2 linked regions of the Schizosaccharomyces pombe genome follow. The gene in region 2 interacts genetically with the main gene of each other region. Each region holds a gene or a part of one and is shown on either strand. Other genes may lie near its edges.

What was found.
Region 1: of byr1 (region 2) and sla1, changing one suppresses a phenotype caused by changing the other (phenotypic suppression), as found in Schizosaccharomyces pombe (one study listed by BioGRID).

The regions. Positions count from the first base shown.
Region 1 is NC_003424.3:1,381,704-1,385,975, forward strand, and holds sla1 (La-motif domain-containing protein), read right to left. Parts: upstream 1,846-4,272; 5' UTR 1,811-1,845; coding exon 1,597-1,810; exon of another isoform or gene 1,522-1,596; coding exon 839-1,521; 3' UTR 705-838; downstream 1-704. Other genes in the region: disulfide relay system thiol oxidase subunit Mia40, read right to left, coding at 2,374-3,020, 3,089-3,383; mitochondrial dihydroorotate dehydrogenase Ura3, read right to left, coding at 3,807-4,272.
Region 2 is NC_003424.3:663,337-671,772, reverse strand, and holds byr1 (MAP kinase kinase Byr1), read right to left. Parts: upstream 3,770-8,436; 5' UTR 3,621-3,769; coding exon 2,598-3,620; 3' UTR 2,031-2,597; downstream 1-2,030. Other genes in the region: THO complex subunit Tho2, read right to left, coding at 1-1,290, 1,346-1,394; transcription factor TFIIH complex subunit Rad15 , read right to left, coding at 4,673-6,991.

The sequences.
Region 1 (4,272 bases), 720 kb from region 2:
TATCTGTAACATGATGTAACGTGGTGAGCTTATAGCATATGACGAAGAACAGCACAGTGCATAAAAAACAATAACTTTGTCAGTTAGATGTTTATTTTCGAAATAACGATACTTTCTACTACGGTTTGATTATATATAGTAATAAAATCAGTCATAGCCCAAAAATGAGTATAAAACAAAGATTCAATTTAATTCTGTTTCAAGTAGCTTAAGCAATGTCTCAGTTATAATTAAGCTATAGGAAGGTCAACTATTTTTGCTTCACTATATTTTGTATTCTGAAGAACATATTGATGTGTAGGATCGATAGCGTAGCCCAGTCAAGCAATCGAGAACTGTAAACCTATGTTGACTGTGCAGTCGGAAATATGTGAAAGACGCATGGTTCTAAGGTTGATATTTTTTTATTTTTACTGTTAAAGTTGATTCTTGTATGGTTGATATCCACCAGAAATATACAAGTTCTTAATTCAGTCAATTCTGATCATTGCAAATTCCACTGAGAACTTCTGAAATGCAAGCTTGGTCGTACTGGTAAAGAAATAGGACTTAATATTAACTCATGTGAAATTTAAAATATTCAGTACGATACATTATAAGTGATGAAGCAAAAAACTATTGCTATTATTCAAAACCTTTAAAATTCGTATAGCAAAACTTATAGCCGAATATTGTTACGATTTAAGCATTAAATTACGAGGTCATATTGTACAAAATAACTGCATGAAACGACTATTTATTCATCCAAAATTCCTAATATAACCAATCCGAAAAAGTTTATTTGTCCAGTGTCTTTGAAGTATTTGTAAAACAAACAAACAAACAAAATTAATCCATTTTACTCCGAAGCGGCCGAAGGCTTCTCTTCAGAAGCGTTAGATGACCTTTGCTTCTTAAATTTTCTTCCTCTGTTACTATATTTACCAGGACGCTGACGATCCATCTCTTTAAAAGCGTCAAAACGTCTGCGTTTGCTGCTAAACTTTGGTGGATCGTTTTTATGTAATTCAGCTTTCATGTCAACATACTCCTTTTTGCTCATTATAGTGAGCTCGTCCTCGCCCCATTTCAAAGGTGCAGTTTTGACTTTCTCAAGAAATTTATTAGCAACATCGGGTTCCTTGAATTCAACAAATACGCTTCCCTTAAATTTTTTATCGTCATCCCTTCTCATACGGACAGCACTAATGGGACCAGCATTTTCTTCAAAGAATTTTTCCAAAGCAATTTGAGTGTCATCTTTTTCATCACCGAAACCTTTGCAGTAGACACTTCTTTCCATGACGCTCTTGTTGTCTACACGAACTAGAGGAATCATACGACGTACTTTTTCGCCAGCTTCATCGACTTCAAGAAGTTCAGGACTCTTGCGAAGAGCATTTACAATGGCTTCCAAAGGCTGAAAACGACGCATACGTTTGAAATTAGCAATTGTTTGAATGGGAACCCATCCATCATTTTTTTGAGAAGTAGTCCATAAAAATTTATCATGGGGTAAGTTGGTGTCCGAAAAATAAAATTCTATTCATACTGTTAGTAACGACCACTCAACACAAAAAAGGTTTTAATCCAACGTAAACAAAGTGTGTAACATACCAACTTGCTTTAAAACTTCAGCTTCATCAAAAGATAAATCTTTTTTTCCATCATCTTCCTTCTTTTCAGTAGTTTCCTCCTTTTTTTCTTCACTAGTAGTATCTTTTTGACTTTCTACTACTTTTCCAGCTTCCTCGGCCTTGGGAACCTCTGAAGAATTCTCCTGCTTAGATGAGATGTCCTTAATTTCTTCCTTCTGTTCTTCAGTTGACATGATGTTAATTATTCGTAGAGAGACAGGCAAAGGGCAAATTTCATAAGAAGTTGGATTCCTCTCCTAGAAGCATTTCTAACCCTACCCTATTATCGAACTGACATTATTTTCCTACTCATGAAGACAATGTTAAAAGTTGGCACTTAAAAAAGAAGTAGTTTATTCATAATAGATTTATAATAGATAGAATAATCCCATGAATTTCCATTGTTTTTTTTTTTGAAAAGATTAACAGAGATTGCTCCTTACAATGTAGCTCTGGATACAATTTAACCATAATGACAAGCAGTAGCTTTTAGTTTTCCTATTTATGATTCTTTACCGACAATTGCAATATAACCTATAATATCAAGATTCCCCATTCGAATTATCATTTAATATCCACTTTATTGTAGAACCGCTAACTATTAAAACCGATGTAAGACATTAATACTTTAAACTTACTCCATTTGTTGGAGTCATTATATGTTCGTTACGAGATCACTATCAAATGCTTTAATTGAATAATTTCAATTTCATATTGTTGAAGGATTTTAAATAGTAAACGGAGCGCCTCGAAAATTTTAAATTTCCTTTATAACTGACATAGGTGTAAGATTAACAATTTCTTTCTCCATGTTCATAACGTCTTCTTCAGGATTAGATGCATTATCGGAGGGTGGAGATTGTGGTTGATTATTTTCGTCAGATGTAGTCGATGGTTTCTCATTAGTTTCGGCGTCTTCCTCTTCAGACTCCCCTACCATATCTTGATAAATTTCGGGGTGTTTTTGAAAACAAGCCTGCATAGCTTGAAATTTGTCAAGACATTCCATACCTTTTGGTTCACTCTTGGAATAAACGAAGCAACTAAAAGCTGCTTTGAATTCTTCTCCACATGGACCATGAGCCATACCTCCAAGACAGGGACAATCCCAGTTAATCTCTCCAGTATCCGGATTAAATGCTGACTCCTCGCTGCTCTCCTCCTCCACTTCCTCAAATTTCCTAGCATATTCATCATCATCTTTACCAGTGGCTATTTGTTCTCGAAGTATATTTCCAGCTGTCTCCCCGCTGGATTTTTCCTTATCAGTTTTCTTCGGTGCACTATTCTCAGTAGCGCTGACCTTGCGGCCTTTCTCGTCAGTCGAAGGTTGTGTTTCACTTGTCATTTTCTTCTCAATGGCATCTTCAATTCGGTGTCGCTGCATATATGGTTCATTATACGCTATATTGTTAGTTAAATTCATATAATCGTACAGAAAAAGATAGCCATTTCAAACATATGATACTTACATTGTGTTTCCGTATGGACATGTTCGCCTACAACAGGATGGTCATTATCTTGACTCGATGATGCATTTGAAGTGTTTTTTCCAAGTAAATATCCAGCAGTCAAAGAAGCAGCTGCAACGCCAGATACAATAGGCAAAAAACGGCCTTTCCATACATCAGTTTTGGTTGCAGTACCAAATTTTCGACAAATGCCTGCTTGAAATCCATTTCTCTGCAGTAGAGACCTTCTCATATTATTGTAACCGTTAATCCTTATACATTTTGGAAATCTGAAAAGTAAGTTTTTAGCAAACATGGTTTTTTTGATTTATGGGAAGTTGAGCTCTGAACTTCTAATGTCTGCGTAATGGTCAGAAAGCGGCGACGATCTTACAAGAACGTAACTTTGTCATTCATTCTAAGTTTATATAAGTTTGCATGTTTTTTAAATCAGATTTAAGTAAATAGGTATTCACAAATGTAAGACAAGCAAGACTGGCAGGATTTACGAGATTACTAAGAAATGCCTGAATGACTAATTTCATAATAGAATTAAACTAGCGACATAATAGTTTCACAAGCAAACTTAGGTATGCAAAACAAAAGGTAATTCATTTATAATATTTAATTAGAAGAACGTGAGTATTATTTTCTATAATATGTTAAATTTTTACTATAATAATGTACCAGTAAACGACACTGAATTTTTTCTTTAAAAGAAATATACTGACATCCCAATCTATTCTTCCTTGCCAATTATGTCAACCCAACGTTTGCCCTTAAGCTCGGCAAGAATCTCTTGCTTAATCTTGTGAGCAATTACAGGACCATCATATCCCAAAGCAGTATAAACTTGAACCATAGTTGCACCAGCACGAGCATACTCAATAGCATCTTTGCCAGAAGAAATACCACCACAGCCGATGATGGGAATATCGGAAGAAAGATGCTTACGAAGTGTGCGAAGAGTATTTAATGCGATAGGTTTGAGAGGAGGTCCAGAAAGACCACCCGTCTCTTCAACATGGCTAGTTGATTTGAGGGTCTTAGGGCGTTGAACGGTAGTATTACCAACGATCACACCGTCAATCTTGCACTTTTTGAGGACATCGGCAATGTCCGTGAGTTCTTCTTCGTTCAAATCAGGTGCAATTTTTACAAGTACGGGAGGATGAGGAGAGTTCAATTTATTGCGCTCACTGACA
Region 2 (8,436 bases):
AAAGTTTGTGATACAAGTTAGATAATTCGGGGTACGCCCTCAACAAAAATGGATAACGACCCAAGATTAATAGAGATGAAGATAAATCCCCGATGGACAATAAAGATTTTAGTAGACCCAGCTTCTGTGAAGGTTTGGCTTTTTTTATTTCAGGAACAGCTTCAGCTTTCTGGCCATCCATGGTTTCTCCGTCTTCAATTTCATCGTCGGGCAATGGGGCCGCCATTGTTAAAGCATTTCCTTTAGCCTTAAAAGTCTGTTCATCTAATTTATCCTTATATTTACCCAACTCTTTACCAAGCTCTTCATCTGATGGAGAAAGATGAGCCCATATGTTATCAATGCTAATAAAATTATATTTAATCAACAAAGCAACCATCATAAAGTAAGATTCCAAATTCTCGTCATCTTCTTTATACATATATTGCAAATTATGACCCAAAACTTGAGACATTATGCTCTTTGTATTGGTGAATCGCTCGTCAAAATTAAAAATACCATTAGCATTAGACAGATTATTTAAAAATGTTTCCTTTTCGCGATCAGGTAACTGATTCCAAAATTTCCGCTCTTTATTCGGACCCCATGGGCTGTTTCTCAAGATAGAAAGGAAAAAGCGCCACGAATCAAGTAAATTTTCAGAAAAAAGCAACAAAATCAAATCCAGTACTTTGTTCGGATCTAAATCAAAAGCACCAATAGTACTGATAATTGACTTATTTACTTGAACGATCAGATAATCTTCGTTTAAGGATTTATTGCGAAGACAAGTTAAAGCATCAAAAAAGTTTATCATTAAATGTGAAAATCCTTCACTTTCTTCTCTAAGCAAATTAAATTTTTTTTGGCGGTAGAGTAGCGAAGTATTTGTCCGCACAATTTTCCGATTTAGAAAATCGCCATTAGGAACGACATTAATATTTTCCAAAAATTTGCAATCCAAGCGAGAAAGCAACCATTCCTCTGGAAGGAATTCCTTTAGTCCTTTTCCAATTGAAACAAGCCTCTTTTCAGCTTTATCATGACTTCCTTCGTGAAAGTTTTTGATCCACTCTGTGTCAAATAACCAAAGCGTATCAATTACATAAGAAGCTAAGGTATTTTTTTCCTCCAATCTTTCAAAAGCTAAGGAAAAAATAGAGAAAAATATGTCTACTGGTAACTTCTCTTCAATGACACATTTTTGAAACAATTCTTGGATTGATTCAACACGTTCGTCACGCGTTCTATTAGATGCAACAAGTTTATCAATATAAGGCTCCCATTCCTCTGAGAGCTTCTTTTGATTTTCTAAAATTATATTCTGTTAATAAAAAATTAATCGGTATTACCTCGAACTTCTTACCTGAAACACTAACTTCGCCTTGCTGATCCTTTTCTGGCAACGAAGTCATGAACACTTGTTAAAAATTACAATCGTAGTGAAACGGATTGCAACAAAATTTTTTAATGTTAACAAGTGACAAGGCTAACTAAATTCAATCTACAGCACTAATCACTGATAAATCTTTTGCTGCGTCTTGCAAACAAGTAAAAACCCAGAAAGCTTGGTGTTAAAGTGAAATGAAAACTTAAAGTACTTCGCTACTTATTACAGTGGTTTTTCGAATCAGAAATAGCATACTAGCTACGCAGTTCGCCGTTAGTAATATTACGCTACGCTATAATACTTACGTTGATTATCACTATATGTCACATGTCCTAATTATTCATCGTACACGTACGTTACGATATTTAGGTGATCTTAATAATAATCTCTTAAAAATTTATATTATTTTGAATACTGTAAATAGAGCTACTGTTGATCCTCATTCCTCAGTTCAGTTAATAGCTAAATTAATGATAGGTAACAATATAATCTAGATAGTATAATACATACAACCTGTAGCTACAAATATTACCTGTATATTGCAATATAATAGGTCACAAGGAAAACTCTTTGGAGTCTACGTATCGTTAACACAGATACCAAACTGCATAGCTGGCAAGTAAATAATAATTGCTTACTTCGTTAAATTTTACATCTGAATGGTTTATGTATTAATTGTAATATTTGCAAACTACGGGCTTTAAGCTTTAATTTTTTATCATCTGGTTTATTAGAAGTTGTGCGATTTGACATGCAGGACTCTGATTAACTTGCTTGGGTAAAACTTAACTCAGACTATTGTGGACGCTGTAACTCAAGTAGTTAAAAAAAACATTCATTGACTTAAATCGAAAGCAATTCAGTGTACCGAGAATTACATTTGAACACAGTCGTAATGATAATTAATAATGGAATAACCAAAAAAAGAGGGCATTTACATAGCACTTTAATGAAGTAAAAAATTGATAAACAAAATATGATACCTATTTATGGCCGATCTAATAATGCTTTGTATTAAGAAAAAAGCGGAAATATTCGTCAACGACAAAATCTCATTGTTCTCCACATTGTGTTGTACCACTATAATTGAAGAGGTGTGGTTAGAACCAAAAATATCCATTTCATGACAAAGTTTAATTTAAAAAGATTTTTCTGAAATCCTTCTTTTTGACGACAAGATGTTTAAAGGTCTAACATAATTTATGTATCCATTGCGTCCTTTGCACATTTACGAGGATCTAAAGTTGGAGGCCCAAGAAGCAAGGTCAACATTAATCATAAGAGCCTGTTGAAAATATGGCATCGCACAGAGTTGTTGTGGAGAGGCGCGAAGTGTAGGGTCTTTATGTAAACAGGCATCAACGAAAAGTCTGAGGTCTTCAGGAAACGAAGATGGAAGTCTAGGTGGTTCTTCTTGAACAATACAATGAAGCAAATCTAGGATCCCTATTGAATCATCGATATTCGAAAACGACCAAGGTAATTCTTGGGTGGCAAGTTCAATAATGCTGATTCCTAGAGACCAAATATCACTTTTGACTGTATATTTTCCACCTCTAATTCGTTCAGGAGACATATAAGTTGAAGTCCCCACAAACGTTTGAGCAACCGAGTTAACTAGTTCACCTGAAACTCCAAAATCGCATAACTTTATTTCACCACGAGAGTTGACGACAACGTTGCTAGGCTTTAAATCCCTGTGAATGATATGTAAAACGTTGTATAAATAAATGAGACCCTTCACCATAGAATTTATAATTTTTCCTAGAATATCTAACGGAATAGGACCTCCCTCCCGAAGAATTGCATCAAGCGATCCGCAATCCATGTATTCCATACATAATGAAATGTTGTTTTTATACTGAAAAGCTCCATAAAAACCGACTATGTAGGGTGAACGACAGTGGTGTAGAACACCTAACTCTCGCAAAATCTGCTTCTGAAGTTTAGAGTCTGACCCAACATAAACTGTTTTCCTAGCCATAAAAATATTTCTATGCTTTACCAATGAAACAGCCCCACCATTTCCCTCTCCCAAATGCCTCACTACTTCCAAACTGCTATTGTCCAAATCAGATATCCAAGCTGGGCGTCGATTCATATGCGCACATTGCTCCATAAATGCTTCGACATTGGATTCAAAGCTTTTTTGATTGTTAATTAACTCTTCCTTATGATCATTATCAGAGCTTTTAACAGAGGCGTTAGGATTCAACACAAGACCTTTTGGATTTCGACGTCGTTTAAACATTTCTAGCTATTGGCCAAATTCTCAAAGAAACCTGTATCGAAGATTATATCATTTAAGATACTATTAAAGTTGCTTCTTTTTCTGTAATTTGACAGCTGACTGTATTCAATAAGTTACTTTGCTAATCAAAGATACAAAGCAGTAGTTATGACAGGATTCTGACTACCCCAACGTGACTAGAGACAACCCTTGCAATAAGCTACACTTATTTTTTTTTCTATATTTAAGAATTCCTGAAAGCGGTATCCTTTTTGTGCTAGAGTAATTTTTTTATACAGTAGTTTGGTAAAGAAACCATCATTGATCTTATATGTGCTTGGCAATTACGTATAAGCCAACCGTGAATCCGTAAAACCAAAAGATTTTTTATTTTCAAGAAATTTATATATTACATAGAATACAGCAATGAATCAGTTGTACAACCCCAAAACGTTCATTTATTTAGAACTAAGTATGGGAGACTAATTTTATCGACATAAAACTATCAAGGAAATTTTTTAGATTATGAGAATATATTATGAATATGTAAACTTTTGTTTTATGTATCTAAATGATAAACAGATGTTTTGTTTATATAACTAGGCTTACAATTACTGCATCACGTATTTTAACTAGCTCGCTTAATGTAAGCTTAATTTCCATAGCAGCATGAAATTGCCAATAATCACTCTTTGAAACGCTGGATTGTTATTGATGGGATGGAAAATTTAAGAAGCATTACAACAACTGAAACCGATTTTATTTGAACACAGTCTCTAAAAAAATTTTAAAGTACTTCGAATTTAGCGACTCGCAAATTAATTGCCAACTGAGTGTAAATAATATTTTTTCTCTGCTCTGCGATCTTAAAACAATTCGTAAGTAGCATGCGTATCGTGATGACGATTGAAATGTCCACTATACAACTCTCGAATACAAGTTGATACATACATTGTCCACACCTACAAAAAAGTTAGCCATTCGCTTCCAAATATCTTCATCGCTGTGTTCATGAGTTTTGGATTGCCTTAGTAAAGATGATTAGAATCAAAGTATTTTACAAATGGCTTCTATTAAGTTTCAACCACATCAATATCCATCTCATCCTCATGTTTGGATTGTTCTATAGCCGCAGACTTCAATGCTTTCTTCTGATGAATCAACAAATCATCAAGACTCCACCAAGAAATCCCTTCCTGATCAGACGCAGTGAAAGGCTGTGCCATAGTTCGTAAAAATTTTTTCGCCAAAGCGAGGGACATATCAGTGCTTAAATTTGTAGCGCCTTCGGTTATATACTGTTGAATCCATTTAGGTAATTTTGTACGCTTATCAGACCGACCATATCGTTTATCTGCTAACACCATAATTCCATGATCATCTTTTCCACGCAAAACGCGACCTAAACATTGGGCAGCATGCCGCATGGCATCAAATGTTAAGAAATCTGCTTCCCGAATTTGATACGTATCCCTCAGAAATTCTAACCGTGCTTTTAAAACACGACTCTCAGTATACTGATACGGAATACCAAACATGATTACTGCTCTACCATAATGATGATCAAAATCCACTCCTTCTGAGACTTTTCCTCTAGCGACTGACAGCAATACTGCTCCACGGCCATTGCTGCAAGCAGCCCGGTAAGTCTCTAAGGCGAGAGTTGTTTCATGAGGATCTGGTGTTTCCACCAAAATCAACTTATACTTCCAGACTTCATCTAGAATACCCATACTTTGCCAACTAGAAACAATACTTTCAAGGTAGAGATAACTTGGAAAAAATGCGACTAAGCCATCAGGTGTAATTTTCGAAAACTCAACCAGTATATTACCGTAATTGCGAACAACACTAGGATCATTACGGGCTTCAAATTTTGAAGAAATAGCTACTTGATCGCTACCCCGAGTAACTACCATAGGAAGGAAACAGTTTCGTGCAAGTGACATTCCATACGATTCCTGCATAACAGTATTAAACTGCAACATCTTGGGGTACATATCGAGGGGGGATAAAGTACCACTCGTGATAATCACAGACCTAAATCTTTCGAAAACTGGTTTAATAGCTATTGAGGCGTCAAGACAGGAAAACCGCAATATTGGATTGGGAACTGTAGCATTTTCTGTTTCAAAGGGTTCCAAAATTAGGATAAATCCACGCTCATAAGTAGCAACAAGGGTCGCAAAAGCTACTACTTGCTGCAAAGAATGAAAATCTTCAACTAGTGAAATTTGTAAGGCACGAACAAGACTAGTGAGTCGCTCAGCGCAAAACCGAAGCGGCTTTTTGTCTATAAATGTAATGTCTTTAACATGTTGCAAAAAAGAAGTTGGTGTTTCAGCAATAACGTGCAAAACTTTCATCCTTGTTTTTAAATATTCTACAAAACGCTTCAAAAATGCAATAAAATGTTCGGCTCGTCGAATATTTCCAGGAACAGCTTCCTTTAAAACATCCTCAGGCAAAACGGGATTCGCCATAAACTGGTCTTCGTCATTTGCGGCATTAGCATCTTGAAGGCCCCGAACAAGCTTTTGGTATTCATCCTGAAGTTTTTTTGAGTCAGACTGTTTTACTTCGTTGACTTTTTGCTCAAGAGACAAAATGCTCTTCGAAGCTTTTCTCAAAGAAGATTCTGTCAAATCAATACTTAAAGACTCAATACACACATTGTCAATATTGTGTGCTTCATCAAAAACAACAATGCAATCTTTACTGAGTTCTCGAGAAACTCGTTCAGCAATTTTGGGGTCTAGTAAATAATGATACGAATAAATAATAACATTACAAAACGGTAGCATACGACGTACAGTAAAATAGGGGCATCGTGTAGTTTTTTCGCCGTATTCTGTGATATCATCAAGGGTCCAAACACCGTTAGATATAAGGCTGTGTGGCTCAAGATCTTCCAAATTGTCGTGGAACTCACAAGTAGGAACATCCATACCAGCCAATCTTTGCTCCCGCACAAAACCCGCCGTAAGTGAGCGACAACGGGCATCTACCACATTCCCATTTTTTTCACGACGAACAGAAGGGTGTAAACATAAATTTTTGCGACTGGTTAGTCCGAGACCCAAAAATGGTTCTTCATATCCTAACTGTGAAGTCCGATACGCCATTAAACGCTTCAATTCAGCTAATGCTTTATCAATTTCCGACATGGTACGTGAACAATAGATGAGCTTGCGATGCTCAGGATAATGTTGTTGATATGAAACAATAAGGGACAAAAGAGAAATGGTCTTTCCAGTACCCGAAGGCATTTCTAAGAGCGCAATGCCTCCCGCATCCAAAGAATGTTTCAAATCACACATATACTGATACTGCTCGGGATAGATGCGTGGATAAGGAAACAGAATAGGTAGATCGTCAATATAGAACTTCATTATGGGTGTAATCCGTTGACTTTGAGGAAATTAATTTGAGTATATGACAGCCTATTGGACCAAAAAAAAATTTAGGAATTAAATAATAAGATAAAAAGTTGAAACAAAAGAATTATGAACTAGCATTGATGAATAATAGTGGGTAAAGATCGCTTAACAATCGCTTCATAAAAATGAAATGAATAAAGCGAGAAATAAATTTTTATGGGTATTATAAGAATGAGGTAGGTTCTGCTTTGGTTCAATATTTAGTCGTCAATCACTGATACACAAATATGAATAAGTTCACAAAGATAAATAAATAAACATGGGATGGAAGAGGGTAAAACAAAACGAACCAAGAAATAATTCTGACCTAAGGTTTAAGTGAGCTACTTTACAGTGAGAATCTCAGGAGAAACTACTTGTCGATCCAAGCTTAAAGAATGAGTCCTGAAATTAACAGTGGCTGCTTTATATTTGTAGTGCATATAGAACTGGATTATGAAGAACGCTGAGTTGGTACGGTAAACATTTATAAGCAAAATACTGTAAAGTACGTTAAATTGGATAATATTCGTAAATACATGGTGTACATACAACTATACATTGATGGAAATGACATGGTTAATGGAAGATGCAATTGCTTAATAAATACTAGTTTATTGGAAAAAAAATTCGTATTTTCGTAGTTACCGAGCATAAGCGCTACTTTGTTTTCTGAAAACAAGTTTCCGCAATACTACTCCTAAATAAACACAAGGCAAAAAGAATACATTTGCAATATTCCATTTATTTTGTTTTACAAGTCAATTCCCGACTCTGTAGACAAGTGAAAAAGGGCAAACTCACATATAGCTGCTGAATCATTTGCAAACTAATAACCGCTTATTCAAGCTTAATGAATATTATTCTAAAGAGGGAAAAACAAATACATACGTATCAGGATAAAAAATAAAAGGAATTAGAATCGCCAGGTGAGCAATAAACAGCAAGTCACCGAAGAGTTATCTTCTTGAAATCATACAGAATACTATATCAACAGTTTTTGAAATGAATGAAGTGGTTTTTTATTATCCCGTAATCACCGGTTAGTACAGTTTACCGGTTTTAATGACATTCCGTATGTTGAGGAGACAATACGGATTGATTTGCCTGTTCACTTATGTGTAGATGATAAGGAAAAGTGCTTTATCAATTTTTCACGAATTATGAAACCCATCAGCAATCATGTTTAATGAAAACATACCCAAGGTTGACATCAAGCAAATCAGCAGATCGTCAAAACTGTTACGTTTTATTTTACCTAATGTCTCTTGGCAATCTCTATCAATCATCGATGACAAGTATTGTGAAAGATGAAAGATGATTAGTAATGATCAATCTTGATATTTTAAAAATCTCTCCCATTCACTAATTTCTGGCTAATTAATTAACTCACTACACATCTAGTATATCGACGAGTA